Rhinolophus ferrumequinum: one gene and its partner. Each later gene encodes a partner of the first gene's protein in a complex. Links are inferred from orthologs where the notes say so. Each region holds a gene or a part of one and is shown on either strand. Other genes may lie near its edges.

Evidence for each region.
Region 2: MYO7B (region 1) and CDHR5 share a complex: the UniProt entries of both Homo sapiens proteins name them as parts of the IMAC/intermicrovillar adhesion complex. The link is inferred for Rhinolophus ferrumequinum from reciprocal best matches to the Homo sapiens genes MYO7B and CDHR5.

Annotation. Positions count from the first base shown.
Region 1 is NW_022680440.1:608,126-615,419, forward strand, and holds the start of MYO7B (unconventional myosin-VIIb), read left to right. Parts: upstream 1-4,209; 5' UTR 4,210-4,356; intron 4,357-7,294. UniProt on the Homo sapiens protein: Myosins are actin-based motor molecules with ATPase activity. Their highly divergent tails are presumed to bind to membranous compartments, which would be moved relative to actin filaments.
Region 2 is NC_046294.1:368,568-376,001, reverse strand, and holds the start of CDHR5 (cadherin-related family member 5), read left to right. Parts: upstream 1-4,342; 5' UTR 4,343-4,439; coding exon 4,440-4,494; intron 4,495-4,585; coding exon 4,586-4,761; intron 4,762-5,107; coding exon 5,108-5,158; intron 5,159-6,354; coding exon 6,355-6,447; intron 6,448-6,552; coding exon 6,553-6,654; intron 6,655-6,736; coding exon 6,737-6,847; intron 6,848-6,941; coding exon 6,942-7,112; intron 7,113-7,434. Other genes in the region: SCT (secretin), read left to right, coding at 2,036-2,115, 2,229-2,330, 2,444-2,548, 2,733-2,853. UniProt on the Homo sapiens protein: Intermicrovillar adhesion molecule that forms, via its extracellular domain, calcium-dependent heterophilic complexes with CDHR2 on adjacent microvilli. Thereby, controls the packing of microvilli at the apical membrane of epithelial cells.

The DNA.
Region 1 (7,294 bases):
GATAGATTAGCAGGAGAAAATAACCAAATTTAATACATACATATGTATGGGAACCCTGCATACATGATAGAATCAGAGACGCTATAGGCAGGAGAGGTTCAGAGAAAGAAAGGCAGATTGAGGTATAGAAGACATCCTGAGCTAGGGATGAGGTAAGGTGCCTTGGGGGCTTCCAAGGTCATGCATGATGACAAGAGCAGACCTTTAGTAAATAGAAGTGTGCCCTGCCTTGTAGACAGGTCAAAAGAAATTGCCTCTGATACTCTCTTATGGGCAAGGCCTCTAATTCAAATTCTTCCAGGTAGTTAAGGGGGGTGGGGTTTGCAGAAGTTTCTCTTGAGCCTGCAGCTCAAAACAATGTGCACATTACAGAGGCACATCTTCGGGTGACTCGTTCTGGACCCCACACCCTCATTCCATGGCCACTCCTGATTATAAATGAGGCCGGAAAGAATGCCCCAGCTGTGGGACCAAGAAGAACAGGAAACTGATCTTGGTGCACACAGAGCATTCCAGCCAGGGGTAAGAAACCCATCCGAATGCTTCTGTTCCCAGAAATGAAGCTCTTAGCAGTGCACTTTCACCCTCAACCTCTCCGAAGCACTAAGAGAGTACCATTATCACCATTACAATCAGAACCTTCAGCATCTTCTACCTGGTTTGCTGAATTTGTCACAGAATCAAGTTTTGCTTTCCCCTCCCACTACCTCAGTGTCACCAGGACAATCAGATTAGTCACCAGGAAGCCATGGGCCCTGCTCATGGGCAGAGGCCCTGTTTATGACTAGGGTCTAGGTTTCAGTGCTAGGGCCCAAGGCTGAGGGGTATTCAGTGATTGCCCATAGCTCTTCAGAGAGGACAAAGTGACTTTGCCCCTCCTGCTGTCTTGGACAAACCTCTGGGTGGGTTTCTCAGAGGGGTTATGGTGATAAAGCACAATCAGAAATGAGTCATTTTCTGCTGGACTTAGATGGCCTTCCTGACCCGTCAGGACTTTGGAGCCAAGCTCCACCCAGGCTGACGATGACTATGGCACAGTAGCTGCTCTGGGGGATGAAGTACCGGGCTGGAATGGCATGGTCCTTTCCTCGGTGTGTCAGAACCAAGACCATCTGGAAGTACTAGTCCAATAGCCCCTTCCCTGCACCTTCCATATCTTCGAAGCCATATCTTCCTGCCATTCAAGGAGGCAAAGGAGGACATCCCTTTTTGGCCCTTGCTGGCTTCCTCTTCCTCCAGCCTCAGTTACACCTGGACCTGTGAGGTGTACATTGGTTCTCAGCCTGGGGTCATCTTATCTCCCAGGAGACATCTGGCAATATTTGGAGACATTTTGATTGCAGTACTGGGGGAGTACATTGAGTAGGTAGAGGCTGTGGGTGCTGCTAAACATCCTATGATGAACAGGACAACTCCTCCCAACCCCTCAGCAAACAATAAACTAGTCCAAAATATCAACAGTGCCAAGACTGAGAAGCCCTGCTTCTTTCCAGATACCCCTCTGCCTTCACACTGAAGACCACGGAAATGGAAGGGAAAGGGCTTTCAGACCCTGGGCTGGGGTGAGCAAGTTGGGGAAGCATCTCCCCTGAAAATCTCTAACGTTAGGATGTTAGGTGTGGGGGGATGGGGTCCAGTTGCGTTGAGGGTTGGTGCAACACAGCGCAACACAGCGCAATGATCACCGGCCGTGGGGACTGATGGACCTTGAGTTAAATATTGCCCCCCACTTTTAGCTGTGTGACCTAAGCAAGTGTCGTAACCTCTTTGGTTTTTACTTCTTACTGTGAAATGAGGATAACACCCCTCATTTGTAGGATTTTGATGAGGGTTGAATGAGATGGCACGTACAAAGAGCCCAGCACGTTGAAGGCACTCATTAAATCCTAGTCCTGTTTGAAACTGAGAATTCTAAAATTCTGTAAATAGTAGCTCAGTGAAAGAGATCCATGCTGGCAGCTGTGCTATTTTATAGTGTTAATGGGTAACTTGGCAGCTGTAGGCTAGATGGGAAGATAAGGGCCACTAGGAAGCAAGGAAATTCAGGTTGCTCTATGAATTCAGAGCTCAAAGGAAATGCTCGCTATGCTCTGTTTCAGTTGCTATGACAATGCCAAAATGGGCTCCATCGTTGGACAAAAGTGGAATGAAACATATGTTGTTCCATGGAGGCATTTTGTTTGCGTTCAGAAACATATTTTTAAAGGTTAGCAGAATATTCACATCTGGAGGAAAATTGTGGAGGTAGCATTAGGCTGTGGGAGAGCCACGTTTGGTCACAGTGGTGACAGGGAGGAGCCTATGCTGCCTGCCCCTAGCCCCTCTTCTTGGTTTTCATGGCTTGGGGAACCTCAGCCTCTCTTGGACTCCAGGAGAACTGCCCCTCCAGGGGTCCCCCTCTGAGCCACTGCCAGCTCAGGTCCTTGCAATTACATGTGCACCTTTTGCTGGGAGGAAGGACTTAATGTACCACTTAGGAAGGGTTGGCAACAAAATGTTCCTGCCCTTGTTTCAGTAAGTTCCCCTCTCGAATATTGCTGTAATGATGTAGTGCAAACAAAGCTGTGAGCACACATTGTTCACTGCCGTGTTGTGTGTGACATGTGTTGTATGTGACAAAGGGTTGGATGCCTCATGATATCCACAGATAGTCACACAAGTGAAGGAGTGCTTGTTGGAGGGGCTATCGCACTTTCTTTAGAGACGGCGGTTAAAGTTCAGTACAGTGTAAGAAGATTCTTTATGATATAATGTCAGATGTAAAAAGAAGCAGGAGACTCTAGATATCTGAAATGTGTTTCTATTAAATTTTGCCTAAGACAAGCTCTGGAGAGAGACCTGTTATACATCGCTTGTTCCACACAGATATGCTGTCCCACTCTTCCCCCCCCCGCCCCGCCCTCCACAGGAGCAGTGGCAGAGGGCTGTAGAGGACCCAGCTGGTACCCAAAGTCTCAGGGTAAGGGGCTCACCATTTCTATAGCTGTCAGGAGCATCAGTGCCAATCCCATGGGCGTGAAATGGCATCTTTCTAAACCAGAGAAGCCACGTGCTATGTGAAGCCCCAAAAAGCAAATATTGGCCCAGGAACTGGTGGGATGTTAGGGGTTAGGAGGCTAGTTGGAGCCGGAGTGGAACTTGAGCACAGTGCTCCTGGTGGGGAGCAGATAGGGCTGGAGGAAAGGCTCGGGGCACAGCTCCTTTCAAATGCATTGCCCTTCATTAAGTCAGCTCCCAACTACTTCTCTTCTTTGTCATGGCTGGTTGCTTGTAAGAAACTGAAACTTCTTCACCTGTCTCAACAAAACGAGCAGAAGGAAGCTGGCAATGCCACAGAGCCCCTCCTCACCCACCCCCAGCAGGCATAGGCCTCTGGCTCTCTCCAGGGCTCCCCCTCTGTGGTTCTTCTCTCTCTCCCACTAGCGCTTAGTTGCTGTCCCAAAAAGAGGCCTAAGGTCAGGGGTGCCACCTTGCTGTGGCCTCAACTCTATCTAAAAACAAAAGCTAGATCCCGCACCTCTGCCTGCAGTTCTCAAGTCTCTCCCATGTCCTGGGAAAGGGAAGGAACCTGCTTGGCCATCTGCAGGACCGCTGAGGCCTCTCTTCCCCAAGAAAAGGGCTGCAGCAAGCAGGTGTCTTCACAGCCCATGCAGTCACATTTGCAGCGACTACCTGTACCCTGAAGTCTGGCCTCTCTCAGGGCACATTGCTCAACACCCTTTCCCTCAGAAGGGCTTGTATGTGCCTCACAGCGAAAATGTCCCCTTCACTCAAGTCTCAGGGCAAGCTGGCACCCCTGCTCCCAGGGACCCCACTGGGAACCCCATTGCCAGGTAGTCTCTAGCTCTGTGATAAAGCATCCTGACTTCCCCAGACGTCTCCTGCGTGTGTGCCTCAAGTGAGGACATGGGGGCTTGAGAGCAGAGCTTCTTCTGGTGGCTTCCTTACAGTCCTCATGACACCTAGGAAAATGCTGAGCTCCCTGGATGATTTGCTGATTGTCACCAGGGACTTTGCTGATGCCAGCAGCAGCAGATATGTGAGCAAACTCTGATGGCGTTGGGGGAGTCTGCCGAAGAGGCCAGGGTTAAAGATCAGAGCTCTGTGAGTCTCTGCTGGCTGGGGCTGCAGGGGACTCCTGGGAGTGGATGTTCCCGGAGCCCAAGGACAAAGTCCTGTAATAAATTACGTTTGTCCCCGTGCTCCTCGGCCATTTCCTCCTGGGGCCCTTCCGCCTCTCCCTTCCCTCCCTTACTCCCCCACGTACCCTGAGCCCTGGCCTTGCCTCACGTCCTGCTCTTTTGCAGTGCCTAGGGGAGTGGAGAAGCGAGTCAGCCAGACCCCAGTACTGACAAGGTAAGGGAGTGCCTGGGGCCTTCTCTGCCTGTCAGATGCACCAGGCCTACAGGCCCACCTCCTGACAAGTAGGAAGACAGAAGGAGTGGGTCACCTCTCTGGAGGAGGGTCGCTGGGCAAGTGGAGGGTTGGGAGACGCAGATGCAGGGAAGTGCTGCAGAGCTCAGCTGGAGACAAGGTGGGATAGTCCTGCAAAGGAGAGAGCTGGAGATTCCCTTTAGGAGCCTGGAAACCAAAAACCCCAGGCCAGCGTCTCGGCCCCTCAGGCTGAGGGCCAGCCTGACAGCAAGGAGGAGGGCAGAGAAACTGTCCTGGTCTTCTGCTGCAGGAAGACAGACTCAGGGCAGAGGGCGATGGCAGGTGCCCGGGCTTCCCTAGGCCCAGCAGCCTCCTCGGCAGGAGGGCCTTGCGGTCAGATCAGGGCCGGGAGGCTAGCCCCGGTGCCATTGACGGGCACCTGGCAGACACCACTGACGGGCACCTGGCAGAAGCCGGCAGCCACATGTGCACACTCGCAGCTCAGTGGTGTTATTGCCTCCGTTTCACAGACAAGGAGCCTGAGGGCCATGGAAATTGAGGTGCCCACAGGAAGGAGCAGAGCTGGGGCTCCACCCTAAAGCCCAGTCTTCTCTGAGTCACATGCATGCCTTCCTGGACAATTGCTATGATTGACTTAGTCACGTCACCCCAGGAAGGCCTGAGCCCCAGGGTGAAGCAGGACCCTGCCCTCCTGTTCTCAAAGCCTCCTCTGGGTGGGCTTTGCTTGTTGGGGAAAGGGGTGACTGAGGGGAGGCTGCCACTGCAGGCTCCCAGAGCTGCCGCCACCGATGTCAGCATGTGGGTATCCGTCCTGGTCCACAAGGAGGAAAGCTGAGACACGGACATTGGGAGGCACTGGCCAAAGTCAGGCTCCTGGCAGCTGTGGGATCCCATCCCAAATCTCCTCAATGGGTGTGTTCCCTACAATTAGACCTCTTCCTCAGGTTCCATTCTGTAACTCTGGACTTGAATTTTATTCTAACCCATAAAACTCCTGAACTCGAAGAAAACCAAACGCTGTGTGGGTCTCTCTGGACCTGGAGCACACCCCCAATGGACCACTCAGTTCCCCACACTTCCGGCAGGAGGCTTTTCCCATCTCTTGACCCTCTGGATGCCTGCTGGCTGGCCCGGGGCCTCCTCCTGGAGTACCTACTCCCTGTTTGTCCATCTTGGGCCCTGCTGCACCCTTGTGGGAGGGGGGACTCTGGGGAGAAGTGACAGCAGGGACAGACATTTCCCAGGTACCTAGATGCATTTGCATAACTCCATGCTTTTCATCTCTTATGAAGGCTCTTCCTTCCCTTCTCACTCAGTCCGTATAACAAGCCATTTGGGGAGAAAGAACAGTGTGTTTTTTATTGAGGAGGACACTGAGATGAAGTAGGGTAAAATGCTTTGCCGAAGGCCACTGGGCTCTGAGCACATGAAGGTGCGAGCTGATCTCCTCAGGATCTCTCTCTCTGGTTTCATTGCGCCCGCCCAGGGCATGGCCCAGAACAGGCCCTCAGCACCTCGATGTCCAGGGAAGGATTGGAGTAGTTTATAGCAGAAGTGAAGCTAGGAATGAAGGCAAGGTTCTAATCCAGGGCCATTTGTTTTATTATTTTTTAAGATTTGTATTAAAATATACCTAACATGCAATATTATATTAGTTTCAGGTGTAAGCTATAGCTATTCAACATTTATATTTCTAAAGAAATGATCACCGTAAGTCCAGCAACCATGTAACAGCCTCTGCCTGCCGTTCCCAAGTCTTGTTTTTCATCACTTTTTGAGTATTTCTTGCCAATCCCTTCTGGCCTGCAAAGTTTCTGTTGAATCAGCTGAGAGTCTTACAGGAGTTTCCTTGTAGGTAACTAACTGCTTTTCTCTTGCTGCTTTTAGGATTCTTTCTTTGTCTTTAACCTTTGGCATTTTAATTATGACGTGTCTTGGTGTGTCTTTGAGTTCATCTTGTTTGGGACTCTCTGCCCTTCCTGGGCTAATATATCAATTTCCTTCACCAGGTTAGGGAAGTTTTCCATCGATATTTCTTCAAATAGGTTTTCAATTCCTTGCTGTCTCTTTTCTCCTTCTGGTACCCCTATAATGCGAATGATGGTACGCTTGATGTTGTCCCAGAGGCCCCTTAAACTATGCTCATGTTTTTCGATTTTTTTTTTCTGTTCTGATTGGGTGTTGTCTGCTACCTTACCTTCTAAATTGCAGAATTAGTCCTCTGCTTCATCTGATCTACTGTTGGTTCCTTGTAATGTATTCTTCATTTCAGTTATTGTATTCTCTATTTCTGATTGGTTCTTTTTGTATGTTTTCTATTTCCATTTTTATGATTCCTATCTCTTTGTTGGAGTTCTCCCTGAGGTCACGGGGCATCCTTATAACCAGTGTTTTGAACTCTAGTAGATTGGTTGTCTCCATTTTGTTTCATTCTTTTTTTGGAGCTTTGTTCTGTTCTTCTATTTGGGACATGTTTCTTGTCTCCCCATGTTAGCTGCCTTCCTGTGTTTGTTTCTATGTATTAAGTAGGGATGTTATAGCTCCCAGTCTTAGCAAAGTGGCCTTATGTAGTAGGTGTGCTGTGGGACCCAGTGGCACAGTCTCCCTGTTCACCTGAGCCGGGTGCTCCACGTGTTGCTTGTGTGGTTGGGTGTGCCCTCCTGTTGTAGTTGAGCTTTGGTTGCTATTTTCTCATCAGTGGGAGGGATTGACCCTCAGGCTGATTGGTTGTGAGGACAGGCTGTGACTACAGTAAAAGAGCTGTTGTGCACGGACTGACACTATGGAGCAGGATTCACTTAGCAGGGCTGTGGTGCCTGTCCAGTGTGCCCATTGAGTGTGTTGTCCTTGGAAGTGTTGTCCTTTGGACTCCAGCTGGGTCCAAAGGTGGCCACTGGGT
Region 2 (7,434 bases), on another chromosome or scaffold:
GATGGAGTTGTCCTGTATCCCGATTATGGTGCTGTTTACACGGATCTGTACATCTGTCAAAATTCATTATTTTACTATATATTAACTTTACTGTATGTTAATTTTTAAAGCCCATTTTATTGCGTGTTAATCTTTTTTAAATGGGAAGATTTTTCTTACGAAGATCTGCCTGGTTACTTAAGTGTTTGAGGTGCTAAGAAATTCAACCAATTAAATTAGTATTTGGAGCTTGGAACATTCTCATGAATGCAATTCATCAGTCAATGGTATTAAAGTTTAGAACATTTCAATTTGCCAAGTTTGTGCAAGAACAAGTCACACCATCTGTTTAAAAACACATGCAAAGAATCATCAGCGAGGGAGCACAGCACACCTACCAGACGGACCACAACCCAGAGCCCCAGTGACACTGAGTGCTGGCTGGGAGGACGTGGGGCCACAGGAATTCCCACCACGGCTGGTGGGGGGTGTGTGTGCAGATGGTGCAGCCACTTTGGAGGACAGGGTGGCAGTTTCTTACAAAACCAAACACACTCTTATCATGTGATCCAGCAATCGTGTTTCTTCGTATTTACCCAAATAAGTTGAAAGTCACGTCCCCACTAAAACCTGCACACAGAGGTTTGTAACAGCCTTACTCAAATTGCCAAATCTGGAAGCAACCAGGACGTCCTTCAGTAGGTGATGGATGAATAAACTGTGGGACATCCAGACAATGGAATCGAATTCAGTGTTAAAGAGAAATGAGCTCTGAAGCCAGAGAGGACATGGAGGAAACTAAGTGAAAGAAGCCAGCCTGAAAAAGCCACATGCTGTGTGATTCCTGAGGTAGGACATTCTGGAAAAGGCAGAACTATGGAGACCGTAAAGATCAGTGGTCGTCACAGGTTGGGGAGGAAGGAGAGATGAACAGACGGAGCACAGAGGTTCTTAGGGCGGTGGGACTAATCTGTGTGAGATTGATTGTGGGTACATGTCACTGTACATCCTGTCCAAACCCCCAGAATGTACACCACCAACAGTGAGTCCTGATGTCAATTATGGACTTAGGTAATAACAATGTATCAATACCGGGTCATCAACTGTAACAACTGTAACAAATGCAGAACACCAATGCAAGATGCTGGGACGAGGGGAGGCTGGGTGTGTTTGTGCTGGGGGAACTATTGCAGCTCAATTTTTCTGTAAACCTAAAACTGCTCTAAAAAAGTCTACTAATTATATTTAAAATGCACGTAAAGTTTAACACAAGAACTAGTTTATAACTTCATTGACTAGATTTGTGATTTCTATTTAAGGATTTAATGCACACAGGAGTTTAAGAAGCCTAGCTTTACTTAATCCCTTATTGATTACGCAGCAGGAACCCAGCTGCCTCCCCTTTCCTCCCCTTTCCGCGTCTCCACCTCCTACCGCCCCTGAAACAGGCTCAGGTCTCCCCCGTCTCGAAAAACAAATGGCGAGGCCCCCAGGCTCGGATCTGCGCCCTGCCTGCAGCTCCCCTCCGCGCCGCCCCCCCACGGGGAGTGGCAGTGAGGTCACCGGTCCGCGCTCGGCCTTCCCTGACGCCGCCCCCTGCCCAGCCGCGCGCACCGTGTGCCGGGGCCTCTCCAGAGGAGCCCGCGGCCTCGGGTCGCCTCGCGCTCTGTCCCAGCCTTGACCCTCCTGAGCTCATCTCCGAGGCCCCCGGCCCCAGGCTCTGCACAGACGTTCCCGCCGCGCATCCGCGCCACCGCCCCGCCCGGACGTCCCTCCTCCCGCCCCGGCCCCCGCGTGCCCGCAAGTCCACGTCCGGCTGAGCCCCGCCAGCCCGCCGAGGGGCGCCGACGCGGCGCTGGGGGCGGGCGACCAGCCGGGTTGACAGCTGGGGGGGCGGCCCTGACCTTCCCGCGGATCGATGGGGGAGCGGCCCGGGCTGCGTGGAGCCAGGGCGGTGCTGACGCCCCCGCCCCCCGCCCCCCGCCGGGCGCCGCTATAAAGGGTGGCGCGCAGCTCTGGCCGCGGCCGCAGCGCTTAACACCCCGGCGCGCCCACCATGGCCCCCCGGGCCCTGCTACTGCTGCTGCTGCTGTCTCCGCTGCTCCAAGGCTCTGCCGGGCGCCCCGCGCCCCCCAGGTGAGCCCAAGGTCCCGGGGCCCACACAGCCCCTTGGGCCCGCCTACCGGCCCTGCGTCCGCCCCACCCTTGCTTGGCCCTGATCCGCTGCGGCGCCGTCACCCCCTCCTCAGGGCCCCGCGACACTCGGACGGGACGTTCACGAGCGAGCTCAGCCGTCTGCGGGAGAGCGCGCGGCTGCAGCGCCTGCTCCAGGGACTGGTCGGGAAGCGCAGGTGAGGTCGGGCCTGGGGCCCCCCTGAGGGGCAGGCCCCGCATGGGGCTGTCCCTCACGCAGCAGTCTCCACCCCCAATTCCACGACTAATTCTGATTTGGGGCGGGGGGCAGCGAGCAGGACGCGGAGAACAGCACATCCTGGACTGGGTCTGCCACCGAGCCTGCCGAGGTCCCCCTCTGCCTGCTGTGGTCCCATTCTCCTGCCCTGCAGGCCTGGTGAGCCCGCCCCCCTCACCAGAGCTCCGCCCCGACCGTCCCTCTGGTCCCCTGGGGCACCCCGTGTCAGCAGTGGGCCAGGGGTGGGGAGAGTTAGCGCTGGTGACCCAAGGAGGCCGGTTCACCAGGTGGGCAGGGGTCTCCACCTTCAGGCCCACAGCCCCTAACCCAGCTGTCTCTGCAGGATGATGGCCCTGAGGGACCCCCTGAATCAGGCCTGGTCTCCCCGGCTGTCTCTTGGACTCAAGTCTGGGGTCATGGTTTCAGAGCCGGCCATCCCTGCTGAGACCCAGATGACGTCCTGAGGAAGAAGGAACCTCCCCTCTTCTGACGGGGGCGCGAACCTGGATGGGGCAGGGTTGGTGGGAAGGAGGGGGTTGCACTTGGCACCAATAAAGAAGGAATTCAGACCCTGGCCTGGCGAGCGCGCTGTGTGCACCGTCTCTGCCTGCGCTGGGAGACAGCCTGCTGGGCAGAGCTCACAGGGGAGGAGGTCCTGCCCGGGAGCCCAGCAGGGGCCACGCCCAGCTGCCCTTTAAACCAGAGAAGACAGTGGGCGCCTCACCTTCCCCTTTCCTTATCTCTGGCATCAGGGCCACTTCCTGTCCCATCGACTGCACTCCCCAGGGCCCCGCCCGCACCCCTTGTCATCCACTCAGCAAACATTCAGGGACTCTGAGGGGCGGCTCAGGACGTTCCCCAGTTCCTGCCCCAGCTGCCATGTGCTAGGTGTGTGGAGCAGGTGGGGGGAATTTTAAGGGGGGTGACGAGGCTCAGGCTGGGCAGGAAGAGGTGACAGGCAGTGGGGCTGTGTGTGTAGGGGGTTACCAGGAGGCTATGAGTCCACTCTGGAAGCCAGGCGTCTGGGCTCTCTGTCCAGGGTTGTGGTCTTGGACAAGCGGCTCAACCATGCTGAGCCTGTGGAGCAGGGACAGTAATGACACCCCAAGAAGTGCTGGGGGTGCAGGAGGCCGGTTAGGCACATGGCAGGCAGAATTGCTGTCACCAGCAGAGAGAACAGGGAGAAGAAGCAGGTGCAAGGATCTGAAGGGGAGAAGGGCCGCCCCACTGTCACCCAGCCCCTTCCCTCCCTCCTGGACTTACCGAGTGGCCTCTCCCTAGCCGCTGGGAGCCTCTCCAGAATCAGCCTGCTGTCGGGCACCAGAGCTCCCGGGGACCCGAGGTGCCCCTGAAGCGCTGCCATTTCCATCACTGTGCCCCTGCGCAGCCCCACCAGGAGGGAGCTGGCTGATTTCCAGGACAGGCAGGTGTGTCCCCAGAATACAGCCTTTTCCTTCCAGATTTAGATGGTCAGTGTGGGAGAGGAGACGGGACTGGAGGGGAACCTGAGGTCCGAACCACGGGGCTGCCTAGGACTTTGCCCCAACAGCATTCTGGCGGAAGAACCCAGCAGAGGCATCTGGGGTGGGGACAGCATAGCAGACAGAAGCCAAAGGCCAGCCCCTTCCCTGTCCTCAATCCCCCAATCCTAGATTCCCTGAGTCCCTAGCCCCCTGCCCCCAGCTCTTGCTCAGCCCCTCTCTTCGGCCCCCCGCGGGCACCCCCACACCCCCCACCCCACCCAGGCCCATGTGTCCTGAGCATTCTGTGAGCTCCTTTCCACCTCATGTCTTCGTGACTGTGGGTTGAGCCCCCGTTGGCACCTGCATGTGGCCCGGCTCCTGCCAGGTAACCACAAGGCCTCCCCCTCCTAGGCCTGGCATGGGCTCGGCCCGCGGGAGCCCCCCAGGTGGAGGCCAATCGTAAAGGATCATAAAGTGGGCGGTGCCGGGCAGGGGTAAAGGTCGTCCCGGCAGAGACTGCCACCAGCACAGGCTACTCAGAGGGTCCCGGTCGCCAGCCGGGCTTAGACTCTCCCGCTGGCCCCAAGATGGGGTCTTGGGTCCTGCTGCTGCCGCTGCTCACAGCCGTAGCCCAGGCCCAGGGTACATGCGGGCTTGGCCGGGGCGCGCGGAGGGAGAGGGGGGCGGGCGGCAGGCAGGGGTTGAAAGGCACTGACCCTTCTCTACTTTCCAGTTTGCTCTGTGGACAATACCTTCTTTGAAGTCCAGGAGAATACGGAGCCTAGTGGGCCCTTGGTGGACATCAATGTCCCTGAGGGCCAGCGCGTGACCCTCGGACCCTCATCCACCCCCTTCGCATTTCGGATCGAGGGCACCCAGCTCTTTCTCAATGTGACTCCTGACTATGAGGTACAAACGGCAGACCAGGGAGGGGTGGGCCGGTGGGGTGCCTGGGGCCGCCAACCCCTGTGGGACCCATGCAGAGAAGGGTTTTTGGGAGTCCTGAAGGCTCTCTGTCCCCCAGGTAGTGACCAACCCCTGTTGGGCCCCAAGGCTTGGTTGAAAGCAAACGCGAGGGGCCAGGGCCCTTGGAGGACAAAGCTGCCTGGGTCCCCAGTGCGCTCTGGACTTAGCAAAGATGACGGGGACCTTGGGCGAGTATCTGCCCCTCTGGCGCTGTGCCCTCCCCTGAGGGATGAGAACAGTGTGCTGTGACCAGCTGCACAGGTGCGCTGACACCTCTCCGCCCCCACAGGAGAACACAATACTGCAGGCACACCTGGAATGCAGAAGGGGTGACACCGTGGTGAGTCAAGCCCAGCTCTCTACTTCCTGGGCGGCCCCCACGTCCCCTCCCTCACCCTGTGACGTCAGAGTGCTTGGACCTCTGTGCTCTGCCTGTCCAGGGTTCCTCCCCAGTGACCTCACCCAGTGGTGTGTTTTCAAGTGTCACTCCTGTGCTGGTGATGCCCACACTTCCTCCAGCCCAGACCGCCCTGAGCTGCAGACTCGCAAACCCAGCCACCCTGATAGGACATCACACCCCCAACCCGAGACCCCATCTGGGGAGGCGCCTCACCCTCCAGCTCAGTCCTGTCCTCTGCCTGCCCCACGTCCTCGTATCAGCATATCTGCTGGCTGGGCCTCAAGCTGGGCCTCCTGCCTCCTGACTCAGGCGCTGGCTACCAGCATCTCCTTTATGGAACCTTCCAACTGGTCCACTCGCTGCCCTCTCGGCCCCACCCACCCCAGTCCACTGTCCGTGTGGCAAGAGGAGCCAGCCCGTGGAGCCCTGCCCAGAACTCGCGAGATGTTGTGCCTCGTCTGTCACTCAGTTGTCACCCCCTGACCTTATTCTAAGTCGCAATGCTACCCCCTCACCCCACACACCTTAGCCCCTGACCTTGACTCACCTTTTATGATGGGAAGTTTCAAAGGCACAAACAAGGGACAGTGTCCCAAGCCCCGTGCACCTGCCAGCTCTGCAGGGAGCCACTGAGCCCTGTGGGTGCCCCGCCTACAAACATCTCAAAGTCACTAAGATAAGGACCCTTCTTACACATCACACGCCACTGGTTCACACCTGAGAAAAGCAGGGACTCGGCATCACAGGACACCCTGGAGATATCTGGTCAGAGGCTCTGTCACAGGTGCAGCAGGGTCACCCTGGGCAACTGGTTGATATTTCTCTTAAGTCTCTTTCAATCTTTGGGTCCCCTTTCTGTTCTCTTTTTCCTTTGAGACTTAGGTTTTGGGATATTTGACTGCTCTTCTGGTCCCTTCCTTGGGGCTCTGGCAACCCAGCACCCGCGTTCCTTCTCTGCAGGGCACTCGTCACCTTCCACACTTTACAAATGGCTTTTTATTCTTTGTCTGGAACCCCTCAGAGCAGAGGGCTTGGCCTTGTGATGTGCCCAGCACCTGGGATGAGCGGGGTCCCCCAGGGTGCCCCTCTGGGGGGGACCTGTGGGGAGAAGGCTGACCTCCACCCCGGACCCCCAGGTGACCCAGCTGCGGGTATTCGTGTCCGTGTTGGACGTCAACGACAACCCCCCTGTGTTCCCCTTTGAGGTCAAGGTCGAGAGGGTGCCGGAGGTGAGTGTGAGGGGAGCCAGGGCCGGCACTGGGGGCATAGAGGGCTAGTGGGGGCTTGACCATGGGGCTGGGTCCATGGCCAGAACCACCCCCTGCGGCTCCCAGGACACTAAAGTGCACACCACGGTCATCCCTGAGAAGGACCTGGAGGCCCAGGACCGCGACAAAGACAACATCTTGTTCTACACCCTCCAGGAAGTGACCCCGGTCAGTCTCCCTGCCCCAGCCCCAACTCCCCCCACCACTGGCGTCCTCCCAGGGTCTCAGGATGTGCCCTCCACCTCCCCAGGGGGCCAAGAGCTTCTTCTCCTTGGTGGGTGCAAACCGCCCTGCCCTGCGGCTGGATCGGCCACTGGACTTCGACAAATGGCCGCACATGACCTTCCAGCTGCTGGTGCGGGTAAGCAGGCCACCTCCACTCTGAGTCCCGGACCCCCACCCACGCTACCCCAGCCCTGGCTCCCGGGCTGATTGGCAGGGCTTGGCTATTGCAGGACACCCGGGAGGAGAACGAGGTGCCCAGCCACACGGACAACGCCACTTTGGTCCTGGAGGTGCAGCCGGCCGACCTGCGGCCTCCCTGGTTCCTGCCCTGCATCTACTCTGACAATTATGTCTGCGTCCACGCCGAGTATCGTGGGGCTATCCCCACAGGCCACAAACTGGTACTGGGGATAGGGAGGGCAGGGCCACGTCCCGAGCTGGGTCAGGGTCAGGGTCAGGGTCTGTCGGCACCGGGGGTGGGGCCTGGGTGCCATGCAGCCAGTTCTGTTGTGATTTTCAAACAAATGTGTGAACATTCCCTTGTGCTCCAACCTTGCTCCATCACTGTGGTGGTGAGTGGCCAGCAAACTCCTCTGAGATTAGGATAAGGGGGACGGCCCAGCTGTCCTGGGGGCACAGCCAGGGACCCAGTGAGGGGCTGGGACGCTGGGGGGCCACGCAGCACTCAGCAGGGGCAGCTGCACCTCTGACCGTCCTGCTCGT